Lonchura striata: one gene and its partner. The protein of the gene in region 2 purifies or fractionates together with the protein of the main gene of each other region. This does not show direct contact. Links are inferred from orthologs where the notes say so. Each region holds a gene or a part of one and is shown on either strand. Other genes may lie near its edges.

The links.
Region 1: the proteins of XRN2 (region 2) and CDKN2AIP purify together in Homo sapiens (affinity purification with mass spectrometry; 4 studies listed by BioGRID and IntAct, with this or other methods). This does not show direct contact. The link is inferred for Lonchura striata from reciprocal best matches to the Homo sapiens genes XRN2 and CDKN2AIP.

The regions. Positions count from the first base shown.
Region 1 is NC_134606.1:32,360,361-32,367,752, reverse strand, and holds the start of CDKN2AIP (CDKN2A-interacting protein), read left to right. Parts: upstream 1-4,171; 5' UTR 4,172-4,189; coding exon 4,190-4,416; intron 4,417-4,511; coding exon 4,512-4,642; intron 4,643-5,358; coding exon 5,359-6,893; 3' UTR 6,894-7,392. UniProt on the Homo sapiens protein: Regulates DNA damage response in a dose-dependent manner through a number of signaling pathways involved in cell proliferation, apoptosis and senescence.
Region 2 is NC_134605.1:28,057,073-28,064,421, reverse strand, and holds the start of XRN2 (5'-3' exoribonuclease 2), read left to right. Parts: upstream 1-4,283; 5' UTR 4,284-4,347; coding exon 4,348-4,422; intron 4,423-7,349. Other genes in the region: KIZ (centrosomal protein kizuna), read left to right, coding at 569-672. UniProt on the Homo sapiens protein: Possesses 5'->3' exoribonuclease activity. May promote the termination of transcription by RNA polymerase II.

The DNA of each region.
Region 1 (7,392 bases), on a different chromosome or scaffold from region 2:
TATTACTTATAGCAGGGACCAACCAGAGATGGTGTCCAGGGGATTTACTGTGCCAGGCCAGTAAGATTTCACTGTTACTGCCTTTCTGTGGAAATAACTCAGCTCTCTTTGCATTGCATGATGTTAAGAGCACAGTTCTCATATTAAGTTGAGTAGGGAATGTCACTATATATTAAACTTAACTGCACAGAACATAATTGAACTCAATGGGAGATGCTGCCCTCTATGTTTCAGTGGGACTTGACTTTGAAGAAATAATAATTCACTGGTTTATAAAGGCATTTATAAACTTATTATACAAGAAGTGCCAGTGCAATACTATGATTTATAGACACTGGTATGATTCACCTTGAGATTTTTGTTGTATCTTGCCAAAAGCAGCTATTATCAAACCCCAAATGACTCTTAACAACACTACTATTGACATGGCATTTAGAAGTTCCTTCCCTAGTGGGAACAAAACCATCTCTTTTCTTCCAATGTTGAAAATTAAATGCACAGCATTAACACCACCAGTGAGGTGTTTAACTTCAAAATTGCCTTTCCTGGTGAGAATGAAAATAGTACGTGCTTTGTTTTTCAAAATTAACAGCAGTGTTTTTCTCTCTTTTCTAATACACATACTTATCAACCTGAGACACAGTTATATCCCTTAGCACTAATAGAGTATTGCAGGTATACACCTATGCTTGTCTGTGCACAACATCCCAGACTCCAGGAGTAGGATTTATCCTGTTCCAGTGTGATTCAAGCACACATTAATAAAGCAGAAAGAATATGACTGGGAAAAAACTGTTAGGGAAGACAAAAGGCTCATTTTAAAGTAATCTTTGTACCAGTAACAACACATTGATGCAGTAGTAACACAAAAGAAAATCAACCCAAAATTAAAGCATGAGGTTCCAGGAAGGCATCAGACCAGAGAAGTTCCTCGCTACAACCAAAACCTGTTGTTAGCCATTCTACATGTGTGCAAAACTATTCCTGATTTTTCTCCAGAAGTCACCAATATTTGTGTTCACACATATAGTCACCAGGCAAAGAGGTGAAATGGCTCTCTGTTAATTTGTCCTCAATAATTGGACAAGGGTAAATTCTTCTAATCAGTCCTTTAGCCACTCTAGGACCAGATGTGCCGAGTCTCCAACACTTCCTAGAACAATTCTTTTTTTAGGAGCCCAGGACTCACAGGTGAGTCCATATAATCTTATGCACACAGGATGACTGGAAGCACTCACAAAGCCCTGAGGTGTGGAGTCCTACCTCTGTGGTTTGGCTGTCATTAAGTCAGCAACACCAGAATATGACTTCTGGAGATCCCTCTGAGTATTTGAAATGTTCCTTTCACCATCCTGTGGAATCTAACCCTCCCCAGCTCCCACTCTTAACTGGTATATGAGCAGCTCAACATGGGCTAGTCCTTAGTCCACTTGGCAACTCAGATGCTTGAGGAGGAGGACAGGATATTCTTGTCTGTACTGCTTGCTCTTCTCCTTCTGCAAGAGTACAGACAATTCTACTGCAGCTACTCAAGACTTTATTGAATTCCTGCTGTCTCTGAGGGGCAGATCTTAAGCCCAGGTCAAGTCTCAAACAACTTCATTAGAAAGCAAAATGGTTCATTGAAGAGCATAAACAGGCTGGCAGAATGAATGATCTTGACTGAGGTGCAAACTGAAATCTATGTTTGCCAAGGATTTCATTCACCCTACGTTCTAAGGTCTGTATGGACCATGAAGTCAGGAACTGTGGTATCACAGACTCAGAGGTCTAGGAGACAAACCCACCTCACCTTTAAGCAGAATCCCTAATGTGACACATCATGCCCTTCCTGTATTTGAGCCTGTATTACAGGATAACCACATGTGGGACTGATACAACAAATGCCTGGAAATACATGTGGTGATTACACTTTCTAAAATTTCTGACACTGTTTTGTAACAAACACATTGCTCCAAGACACCCACAGCAGAGAAGATACAAATTTTCTGCCCTTCTCTTCCTGTCAGCCCCATCCCATTCATTACTGTTCCCTTGCTCTCTGTCACTGAACTATTCTTGCCAATGCACAAGATAACATTGTGTGGCCCAACCAGGAAAGCAAAGCAAAAGCACTTCCATCCCAACAATGGAAAAAGAGCAAAAGGGCATTGGACTTCTTTTTTCTGACTTCATTTCCTTAATCCCTTCATTTTTGCTCTGTAGAGGCACTCTTAGTTAAACCGCTACATAACCATTTCCACAAAATAAGACATCTAGGTCATTAAGGAGAAATACTTCTTCCTTAAATGCAATCTATTCTGTAGTTCAGTTCATAATGACATGTAGGTGTTAAAAATTGAAAACTTAAGCAAACCCAGACTTTTAATTCAGGAGGAAAAATCAATACAGCTCTCCAGGGACAGCCCTTCGGAATTCAAAATTCTTTCCTCTTTTGCACTGACTCAGCAAGCCCTATCTTGGCAGACTGCAGCTTGTGATATTTTCACAGTGTGCTTATTACTTTTTCACAGAGAATTGTTCAAATTATGGAGTAAGATTTTGCAAACTAAAGACAGCCTACAGAGCTGCAAGAGCAATTAGCTGAACCTTTTGTAGGCAGCAGTCCTCATATAATGCTTCCTCCAAAAAGCTACAACAACCCATGTCCTTGCCACTACCTTTCTGTCACATGCCAATGTTGTTAAACCTGGAATATGTCAAGATTATTTTAAGTCAGGGTAAGTCTTTAGTGCAAGCCATCAGGAAAGGAGACCTAATAAGGGGAACAGGCAGTATTGCTTAGTCAAAGACATCTAGGAACTAAGACTTTAAGAATAGAGCAAATCAAGACGTTGATGTACATCTACGTACATTGCTAACTTGGCAAGTACTCTAGGCCCATGGGCCCATGTATCCTATACCTGAACTATCCTCTTATAATATTAAAATTCGTGCCTATAGGTCAAAATACCCCTGCCCAGGTGAAGACCCCTCCCCAGAGCATTGGATAGAAGTTAGCTGGGGTTACATAACTTGTACGGAAATTACTAACCAATTATCATAGAGGAAATTGCTAACCAATCATCACAGAAAGTCCGGAGGGGCATACTAGTTTGTGGAATACCACTGAGAACCCAGGCTTGTGCAATTCTGAAATAAATAATAATTGTCTCTCTTAAGTATGCAATTATTGTCCAGGCAACAAACCCAATTGTATGGACAACACTGAGGAGGAAAGGGGGAAAGGACCTGAGTGTCCTTTTCTTTCACCAATGGAAGATGATCTGTGGGTGCTGGTGGAACATGAATCAGCAATACATGAGCCAACAGTTTGCCCAGGTGGCCAAGAAGACCAGCAGCACCCTGGCCAGGATCAGAGATAGTGTAGCCAGCAGGAACAGGGAAAGGATTGTCCCGTTGTACTCAGCACTGGTGAAGCCACACCTCAATTGCTGCATCCAGTTATGGCCACTCAAATCAGGAAGGCTATTGAGGTGGTGGAGCAAGGCCACAGAAGTGAAACAAAGCTGGTGAAGGATCTGGAGCACAAGCGCTACCAGGAGCGGCTGAGGGAGCAGAGGTTGTTTGGAAGAACAGAAGCTCAGGGGAGACCTCATGTCTCTCTAGAATTACCTGAAAGGAGGCTATAACAAGGTGGGGATCGGCCTCTTCTCCCAGGCAACCAGCGACAGGATTAAAGGACACAATCTTAAGCTGCACTAGGGGAGGTTTAGGTTGAACATTAGGAGGAATCTCTTCACAAAAAAGGTTGGGAAGCATTGGAACAGGCTGCTCAGGGAAGTGGGGAGTCAGCATCCCTGGAGGTGTTTAAAGGAAGACTGGACGCGGCACTTAGTGCCATGGTCAAACGGACAAAGTGGTGCTCGGTCAGATGCTGGACCCCAGGACTACGAGGACTTTTCCAGCCTAAGTGATTCTGTGATTCTGAGGTAAAACACCAACTGATCCGCCACAAACTCCGACCTCAGCAAGCCTGGAAGAAACCAACGCGTACAGCAGAGCTTTTGTTCACGCTTTCCCCAGTCACAGTGCGGGGCTGGCAGCCGAGCCCAGGGCACCTCATTTGCCCGGCACCCGAGACGCGCCGAGGCGCGCACACGGCGGCGCTGCGCGGCCCGGCCCACGCGGATGTGAGCTCACGGCGGCCCGGCGGAAGCCGCGGGGCGGTGTTTCCGCGGCGGCGGCGATGGCGGGCAAGGCGGCGGCGGCGGGCGAGCCCCTCGGGCGGACGGCGGAAGAGGCGGCCTGGGCGGAGACGCTGCGCGGGGCCTGCGAGCCTGAGCACCACTGGCGGTACCGCCGGGAGTTCCTGCTGCGCAACGTGGGGGAGCTGCCGGCGGCGGGCAGCGCCCAGCTGCAGCGCCTGGTGTCCCTCTCCATGGTGTGGGCCAACCATGTCTTCCTGGGATGCCGGTGAGTCCAGCGGGACGCGCCGGGGGACGGGGGGGCGGCGAGGCGCGGCCGTCTGACGAGGCCCCTTCCCTCCTTTCCTCTTGTCGCCCCTCCAGGTACCCGCCGCAGGTCATGGAGAGGGCGCTGGAAATGGCCGAAGGCATCCAAGTGACCGACGCGCCTGTCCGCACCACGAGAGACGAACTGGTTGCCAAGGTGAAGAAAAGAGGCATATCAAGTAGCAATGGTTAGCAGATCATAGCTGTGACAATACATAGGAGTCTAGAAAATTCTTGTTTCTGAATGTTCTCGGTTTGCCTCGGGCTTAGAAAGTAGTTGAAATAATTTACTTTTTAAACTCCCGCTAATAGTTTCCTCTCTCTGTGCTATTCTTTTTCTAATATGTCTCTAAAATGGACATAATGTGCAGATAGTAATTTGGTAATGTAGAGCTGTTGTTTTGAATTTCTACAACTGGTGCACTATAATCTGACAACTTGTGCGTTGTGTTGTGTGCTGCTGTGCTCCAGCTTAAATACGTTCTTGTTACTTTGCCATTGTTGCTGTGTAAGAAACTGCGTTTCTAAAAGTAACTCTCAGACTTATGTTTTAAAGATGTTTTGTGACATTAGTAGACCAAATACACTTCTTTTATTTTTAGGTCAGATAACCCATTTTATGTATGTTGGCCAGTTTCGGTTTGGACTTCAAGAATAGAAATACATATTTGGGTCCAAACCAACATCTAAAATCTTGCATGAGTGTATACCGGATTTTGTCCAAAAAACTCAAAATCCTGAAATAGTAGGTTAATACTTGAAATGACAGTTCAAAGTATATTACTAATATATGCCCTTTAAATTCACAGAGAATATTGCTAAAAGGTTTTAGATTATTTTTCTCTACATGGATATTTCATAGTGCAGAAATCAAAGAGTTTCACATATTTTACCTGTTTTGCAGAAGGGGTAGAGGAGCCCTCCAAGAGACAAGCTGTTGAGAAAAGCAGAGACTCTAAGGATGTTGGAAAGAATGTGAAAACAACCAAAGCAGAAGGAGCAAAGGAAACAGAGAGCACCTTGCCCAAAAAGCAGGAAAAAGGTATTAGCAAAGATCCAGAAACTTCCCAGTCAACTTGCAGTTCAGATCAAGAAATGATCACAGTGTCAGACACAGAAACAGAAGGAAAACCTGCTAATGCTGAAAGTACTGCTGAGCAAAAGCCACCTTCATCTGAGAAAGAGCCAGGAAAGAAGCCTTGTTCAAGCCCACCCAAGGAAATCAAGTGTGAGAATGTGCCATCACCTGAAAAGAAAACTACAGGAAGTGTAGCACCGCTGGCTGCCGAGAGCACCCCTCAGGTAGCAGCAGCAGTGGTGGCAGCACAGCCACCAGCTGCCAAGAGCACCCCACCGGCAGCAGCTGTGGCAGCAGCAGTGCCATCAACCTCCAAGAGCACCCCACAGGCAGTAGTGGCGGCAGCAGCAGTGCCAGTGACCACCAAGAGCACCCCACAGACAGCAGCGGTGGCAGCAGCAGTGCCACCAACCACCAAGAGCACCCCACAGGCAGCGGCGGCGGCGGCAACAGCAGTGCCACCAACCACCAAGAGCACCCCCCAAACGAGTGCTGCGTTGCTGTCTTCCAAAACCCAGCTGGGTGCCCCAGCATCAGTGTCCAAGAACGGTGCTCAGGTGAGCAGCTCACTGCTTCTGGCCCCCAAGAGTGGTACTCAGGTGGGCACCTCCCTGCTGCTGGCTTCCAAAGGCCCGGCTAAGGTGGGCTCCCCGCTCCTGGCCTCTAAGAGCAGTGCAGAGGTAGCTGCCTCTTTGCTGGCCGCTCGGAGTGGTGCGCAGCCGGGATCCTCACTGCTCGCTTCCAAGAGCAGTGCTCAGGTGGCCGCTTCGCTGCTGGCCGCTCGGAGTGGAGCTCAGCAAGGGCCCTCCCGAGGTGGAGCTCAGGCAGGTGCTTCCCAGCTGGCCTCTAAGAGTGGCTCGCAGGCAGGTGAAAGCCCTGCGAAGGCTTTGTGCAAACCGCTGACCAGCGAAGATGCAAAGGAAAGACAACCGTTTTTCAACAGACTCTACAAAGCTGTAGCCTGGAAACTGGTTGCTGTTGGAGGCTTCAGTCCTAATGTAAATCATGCAGAACTTCTAAATTCATCTATTCAGTCTGTAAAAGCTACGTTAGATGTTGCTTTTGTTCCCCTTAAGGAACTTGCAGACTTGCCTCAAAATAAAAGCTCTCTAGAAAACATAGTTTGTGAACTGAGGTGCAAGTCTGTCTACTTGGGTACTGGCTGTGGTAAAAGTATGGAAAATGCCAAAGCAGTGGCTTCAAGAGAAGCTTTGAAATTATTCCTCAAGAAGAAAGTTATTGTGAAGATCTGTAAAAGAAAATACAAAGGTAGTGAAATTGAAGATTTGGTGCTTCTGGATGAAGAGTCAAAACCTTCAAATTTGCCTCCAGCTTTAAGAAATCCTCGTGAGATCTTGTAGGGGGGAGAATCACTGTTTGTACTGTGTATAATATTTCAATACAAGGACTGAAGGTTAATTTTGTACTTTGAAAATGTAGGCTTCCAGATATTTTGTATTTCTTTCTCAGTTTTGCAAGACAATAATAGTTCTTTCACTTGGTAGCAATTGTATAAAACTTGTTAGAGATGACAAGTGCGCATTTAAAGGTATTGCCTTAATATACAGCACACTAGTGTGCTGTTGTATTTGCAAAATAGTCTACCTATCTCTTCTATTTTTAATTAAACTATTAAGGTACAATTTGCTGTTTAAAACACAACGTTTTTGTAATTCTTACAATTTGATGGTAGTGTGCTCAATTGTCTACCATATCTTTTCTAGGCTTGTAGAAGTGTGTACATAGGGACCATAATACTTGAATAATTGAAAGTTTAAAAATTTCAATCAAAAAGTTGAATTATATGTTTCAGGCTTGTTGCTCATAATGTTCACTGTTACTCATACTAGGAGAGAAAGT
Region 2 (7,349 bases):
CATGGGTCAAAAGAATTCACATCTCCAGAAATCTCTCAGGCACTCTGAATTTCCGTGGGATTCTGCTGCCGTCAGTAAAAGAGTTTGCTGATTCTCAGAGCCTAAGGTAAAAGCTATGTATGTGCTCCACTGAGATCAGACCTGCATGGATCTGCTCTGATCTCCAAGTGGTGATTTTTCATTTGTGATGCCATTGCTATTTTTGTGCCAACCCTGTGATGTCATGGCCCTCTGGTGACTTCATCGTAGGGTCAAGTAGTGGGGAGAAAGGGGAAGAGAATAGACAAAGCTGCAATTCAGACAGCATTTGGTCAAGTAAATTGCTTGGAGTGGAAATATTCTGCCCAGCTACCTTGTGGCACAATGGAGTGGAAGCATTGAATGAGGCCGCTGTCCAGCAGCCGCTCTGCTGCCGGACACTATGCCAGACACGCACACCTGGGGCTGAGGCTCCCAACTCCCAGCCCTCAGTCAGCCTCAGGAGACCTGTCCTGTGCTCATGGCTGTGACAAGTGGCATGGTCACAGAAAAGGTTTTGCACCTCTGCTTTCCGTCTTCTCACCCACAGCATTCTGGGGCGAATCTGACGACAGCTGCTCCGAACTCGAGGCTGCTCTGCGCCCACGGACCCACGGCACAGATTCAGACGACTTTGATGACTTCTATGACTGAGATTCTCTCACTGGCTTTTGGGAAGAAACAAACTGTGTTTTCTTTTACACAATGACTGTGCCACAGGCTGCAGCACTGCCTGTTACTTAATTGGCAAAGAAAATTTAAATACCAAATAAATGTAATGGGTCCTATATATTGTCTGTGTGCTCTCTCTGACCTGCAGTGTTTTCCTGCTCTGATGGGAATCCTGCCCCATGACAGTCCCCTCCTGAGGCTTGTGGCATCCCAATATTGGGACTTCAGTGCTAGACAGGGTTTGGGAAGAAGCAGACATGCATTGTGGGTATGCAGATAGGCGCTGCTGGGGTGGGCTGGTATGTTTGATCTTTATCTTCTTCTGCAACAGATCAAGAAGAAGAAATGCATAAAATGTCCATTTGTAATTCAGCACATTTTGGAACAGAGCAGCATTTACATGTGGCAAGCCCCAGCGCTTTCCTGCTTTTCCCTGCTTTGTGAAATCCATGCTGGTGTTGCTGTGTGGACATCACAGTAATTGGATGACTCCAGGAGCTTAATGCATTTTTAATTTTCTTCTTCCTTTTATCTAAAAATTACGTTCATTAAACATGAGATTTTCTTTGGGATGGAGAAACTAGGGGACATGTTAAAGCTGTTCTTAAATGACAACAAGTTCAAAAGCAGAAAGCAGCACCCCAATTAAGCTGTGCTGTGCTGTGCTGCACTCCCACGTCTCCCAACACAGGCACCCATCTCTGCACCCCGTTCCTCAAAACCCAGCTAGAAATGGGACCAACATTCAGTGTAATAAGAGGAACGTGTAGGCTGAAAGCTCAACAGAACAAAATGACTTGCAGAAGTCTTGGAACCAAGCAGAAGCTATTGGCACAGCTGGCTGCTGTGAGTAAGGCTGACATCCTGGGAGACTGCTGGGACTGTTGCAACTGACAGAGTGAGAGGACACAGTCTTTAGCTGCACCAAAGGAAATACAGGTTGGATATTAGGAAAAAGGTTTTTTACAGAAAGAGTGATAAAGTACTGGAATCATCTGCCTGCGGAGATGGTGGAGACACCATCCGTGGATCTGCTTTAAAATAGACTAGATGTGGCACTCAGTGTCGTGGTTGAGGTGTTAGGGCATGGGTTGTACTCAATGATCTTGAAGGTCCCTTTCAACCTTGTGGTTCTGTAACTAAAGCCAGACTTTACTGAGGGCTTTAATGTCCTTTTTACCACACCAACGCTCTGTGTCCTGTGGGACTGCTGCCTGCTGTCAGTGCTGTGGGGTGTGCATGTTGCTCAAGGCCTGGGAGGAACGTGGAGAGGCGGAGCAGCCTCACTGGAAAAATCCAGCAGCTTGCGCTACCAAGGGACATTGCCTCAGCAGCGCAGTGTCTTTGCAGCTCTGAGCTCCTCCTGAGTGACTCTGGGCTGCTGATGTCAGCCCGCTTTCTGTCTGCTGCATGACACCAGTGTGTGGGGCTTTCCACCACCAGAGTCTGGCTTAGCCCTGACAGCGGCCCATGACAGGTGACGGATGGCTGTAGAGCCACATGCAGGCAATCTCTGCCTCTTGGTGTCGGAGCAATAGCCAGGTTCCTCCAGAGCGTTATTGATGATACTCTTATTGTGCACAGACTCATTTGATTCAAAACATCCTGCCAGTCAACTAGTCAACTTCCCTGTGCTCTTTCACAGCTGTCACGCTGGCAGCCTGGCCCTGGTTGCAGGTGATGCTGACAGACAGAGGGACTGGAATCAATACACCCCAAACAGATTCCCATCAGCGCACCACTCATCTGAGGAAAGTGCCTGAGTAGGAAGCCTTCCTTGCTCCTGCCCAGGGTTCTCTGCTCTGTGCTGTGCTCATGGATGTGCAATTAGCAGGTGAGACCCAGGCTCACTGCCCAGTGCAGCTGCTGATGCTCAGACCAACTTTTCAAGGAATTGTCTGCTGCAGTATTCATTTTTCCAGCACTTGTTTACCCAAGCAATTATAAGATAAGATGATCGCCTTTCATTTGCATCTGCCAGCCTTCTGTTTTCTTCATCATTATCAGAAAAACTGATTGCCCATCAATACAAATAAAATGTTCATGCTAAGCTGCCATGCTCCCTACAAAATTCCGGGAGGAGAAGCACTACAATAGGAAGCTTCAATCAGGGAACATTTTGTAAGGAACAGATAAAGCACAATCTTCAGCTGATACCACAGGTGTGGTTGGTGCGACTACAAAGTTGCAGGGGAAATTTATTGAAGTCACAGATTTTATTGAGGGGAATGACAACAAAAAATGGCTTAACAACAGCCAAATGAGGATAAGAATAATGAGAGACACAATACTGGGTTAATTTATTCTACAGTGAATTAGCCAGGTACCAAAGTTCTCCTCTGCAACCCAAATCGGCAGCGTTGACTCAGCAAGCACTGCTGAGACTTTGTTATTTTTGTTAATGACTCCCAGGCTGCTGTTCCCTGTCCTTGGCCCTGCGGCTGCCCTGCTAACGGAGCTGATGGATGGCAACAGGACATGGCAGAGCAAAACCTGGCTTGTCTTAATCCCATTTAATTCCCAACCGTTTAATTCCATTTTGGTGCTGTTGAACGGCCACAAATTAACAGTATTTGCTTATGCCACGGGCAGAGCAAGGGCATGGGGACTCCTTGCCTCATGTTGCTCTCAGGAATCACAAAGAGCCACTTCCCACTGGAAATGTCCCCTCAGAGGGCACAGAGCAGCTGTGCCCTGAATTGCTTCTGTTGTTGCCAAACGCAGGATAAGTCAAAATTGTCTGAAGTCGGGATGTTCTCTAATGTAATATTTTTGTATACTTCCATGCAGAGACGTATTAGTGCATCCCTTCAAGGACACCCTGGAACCACCAAGCTTTAAGGATATAGGAAATCTAGATGTTGATGCCTATGTGTGCATTCCTAACTTGGCAAAACACCCAAATTCCATGTATCCTACAGCTGAACCGTGTTTGTCGTAACACTGAAACTCACACCTACAGGCCAAGAAGAGGTGCAGACCCTTCCCCTGAGCACATGGAAGAGTTGGCTGGGGTTACGTAACTCATGTGGAAATAACTGATCAATCCTAAAAGAGGGGCTGTGCTGAGGATGTTGCCAGCTCTGGATTTTTAAGTAACAGTGGTTGTGCTGCATTTAGGGAATATATTGAGCATGCAGCTCACGCAGCACTGAAATAAATCATCCATGTCTCTCTTAATTATTGACTTGTTGGACAACAGTGCCGTGCAGCCTAAAGCACCCCTCAGCAGCACCCCATGTTTTAACAAGGTGCTAAAGGAAGGTGATTCTCCTGTTAAACTGCTTCTTTATGGCCGTTTTTGAAGAGAAGTTGTCGCACTTGTCTTGGCTGAGTGTGAGGGCGGCAGTGGGGCTGCCTCAGGCTTCCCTCAGGTTTCGCTTTCCCTCCTGGATATCACTCTTGTGCCCTCTGGTTTTGCTTTTTCCCTGTGAGCGTCCCTTTTGTATGCCAGGAGCTGCGCAGACCCGTTTCGGGGCGCTGTCCCCTCACGCTCCCGGCTCCCGCCGCTGCCGCGCTCCCCGCCCCCCCCCAGACGGCGGCACCGCGCCACGTGACCGCGCGCGCCGCCCCCTCCCTTCCCGGCATGCCCCGCGCCGCCCCCTCGACCCGGAAGTGCCGCGGGTGCCGCTGGCCGCAGCCCGTCTCGCTGCCGCCATGGGGGTCCCGGCCTTCTTCCGCTGGCTCAGCCGCAAGTACCCCTCCATTATCGTCAACTGCGTCGAGGAGAAGGTGAGCAGGCCGCCCGGCATGGCACGGGCCCGGCATGGCGCCCCGGGGCGCCTCGGTCGTGGCGGCCGCACCGGTGCTGAGCCCCCGCTGTTGCCCCCGTGGGCTGCCCCGAGGCCTTTCCAAGGCATGTCGGTGGGTAGGTGGACTAGGGTTGTGTTTGGGTTTGTTTCGGGTGCTGTTTAGGATTGGGAGAAGTTTGAGGGTTTTTTGGGTTTTGGAGTTTTTTTCGGATTTTTAATCCCGATGGAAGCGGGAGGAGTTATCCCAGCGCCTCGTTGAGTGCCGCCGGCGCGCGTGAGCGCTCCTGGAAGGAACGGGCACGTGGAGGAAGTGGGAATGGGCGCCGGAGCAGGGAATCGAGCCCCTTCTCCGGCCGCTTCGCTGGAATTCCAGCCCTTCCCGACGCCCTCGGCTCTGCCCTCATGCGACTTCGATCCGGAAAGGTGGGATTTGAGGCACTGGTGAAATTTGAGTAGGGAGCAGTGGGAGTGCTTTTTGCTGTTTCTTGAATGTTTTTCACAGTCCTTTCTTTTCCACAACTTTTTTTGATGGGAATTAGAAGCCGCAGCAAGCTCCAGAACTTCCTGGAAACACGAGCGCAGCCGCCTCTGGCGCTACATCCAAGACTTACACCAAGCCTGTGCTTGTGCTCGAACCTTGATCAGCCTCAGGGGGTTTTGTCTCGTTGTTGGTGTTTTCTAGTTCAGGATAAACATCTCCTGGCCGAACAGGGAGCTGATTATTCCAAAGATGTCTCTAAAATATGGCTTTCCATGGCGGCAGCAGCAGCAGGTTTCAGTGAAGGCTCTGACCACAGCTGCCTTTCCAGGCAGTATTGAAGCTGAAGTGATGTTTGTTTCCGTGTTTTTTTGGACTGGTTCCTTCAGGCACATGCCTGCAACTGTGAGGGTGTTGTACCATCCTATGGGTCACAGTGGGAAGGGACAGGAAGGATGGGGGGGGGTTGTCTCCCTTCAGCAGCAGGCTTTGAGTGGCTGCACCATGGTGAATTACCACACTGTGCCCTGAGTGTGGCAAGTTTGCCTTCTCAGGGCTAATTCGAGCCTTTCTGAGGAGGCAGACTCTGGAGCTCTTGCTTTCCAAACTGCTTTTCCCATGGGCTTTTCCAAATAATTTGTGTTGTCTTGTTAGATGGTACTGGCTGTGGTGTGCTGGTTTGGAAAGTTCAGGGCATGTGGTGGCGCTTCTGCCTCTCTGCTCCTTCTCCCAAGGTGTGCTCACCTTGGGGAAATACTTGGAAGGGGATAGAGTGGGAGCATGATGGAGGAGGTCAGGGAGAAAAGGGTGAAGTGGTGAAATTCCGTGTTGAGGCTGCATGTGTACCCTGCCTGCAGCAGGATGTTCCGCTCTGCGCTTTTTCAGGGTGTTTTTGTGTTTCCGATTCAGGCAGTGAAGCACAGATTTGGTTAAAATTGTGAGTTGCTTTTGTGGTTTTATTACAGCTGTGATTTCAGTCCCTCTCAGCAAGGTAGGAAGTTTATTTTGCCTGTCGCTGCGAGAAGTGAATTTTTAATAGGGGGCAATTAAGATCTAAGAATCTGTCTGGGAATTTTTATAGAATAAAAGGGGGGTTGTGGGCTTAACAGTTTCTCTTAATGCTGAGCTCCAGCAGCACTGGCTCTTCTGGTTTCTGCACCAAACGCCTGAGGTGACCTCTCCCGAGGATCTGGGAACCCTCAGGCTCTGGGGCTGTCTTGGATAACCCTTTAAGATCTGTTATTGAAAAGCAGCAACAATTTAAACAGCAATTATATCTGTAACAGTTTGGGGCAGTTGTCTCTAAGAGCAGATTTGCCTTTTTCAGCACATTTGTAAATGTTAGATTAATCTCTGTGTAATCAAAGCTGTTCTCACATTTAGGCAAAACAAAGGTTTGCATAACCCTGGTTTTACTGATTGTGTGTCTCTTTTTATCAGTCTTTAATAACTGAGCTTGTACCATCCAAAGTTATTTATTAAAATAAGTGGAAAGACATAACAAATTCTTTGAATTAGATTTGCCGTAAGTGAAGTGGCAGCTCTTGCTGTCCTCATCCATGTTGCCTTGTTCCAACTCAAGAGCACGTGCAATTACAGCCAGGACAGCACATGGATAAATCATATTCATTAACATTTTTTTATATTCAAATCTGGTCATAAATCTGAGAGTGGACTAGGACATCAGGGAGAAGCTGTAGTTTGTCTTACTGTCAGTGAATTTAAGCTTCTCTCACAATGTAATCAGCTCTGTGTTTGTTTTAGGATTGCTGTAAATCTCTCTAATCAGAAATTTTGTATCTCCTCGTAGCTTGTCTCTCAACTGAAAAGTTGATCCTTGTTCTCTTACCTTGCCAGATTAATCAGATTTAAGAAAAAGAAATAATCTTCTTCTTAAGCTAAGCAGGAAGAATGAGAGGAAGATCTTGACGATAATAAAAAATCCAGGAGAGAATATTCTTAATCAAATGGACAGGAATTAATAAAGCTGCAGCTGAAGTATCATGTTTGAAGATCTGTTTTCAATGGTTTCAAAAGAGGCTGTAGATGAGAAGTGAACAGTTTAGTTATATCACAAGTGATATCGCTGCCACATACTTCAGCCTTCCTTCCACACGACTGCTGCATGAGAACCCCAGTGGGTCTGTGAAGGGGGGCTCATTCTCTGCCTCACAGAGCTGGGATTCCTTCTGAATCCCATTGAGCCCTGGAGAGAGGGTGGCTGGGGATCAAGGAGAATTCAGGGGGTAGCCCAGAGGAAGGTACAGTGTTTGCACTGACACTTAGTTTCTGCTAGCACTACCTTCTTTTGAGTGTGTGTGTGTGTCTGGAGAGCTCAGTAAAGGAGGCAAACATTGGTGCTTGGGGGTGGCATCTGTCAGGATAGCTGTGCCAAATGTAAATACTGCAAGACTTCAGAGGGTTTCATT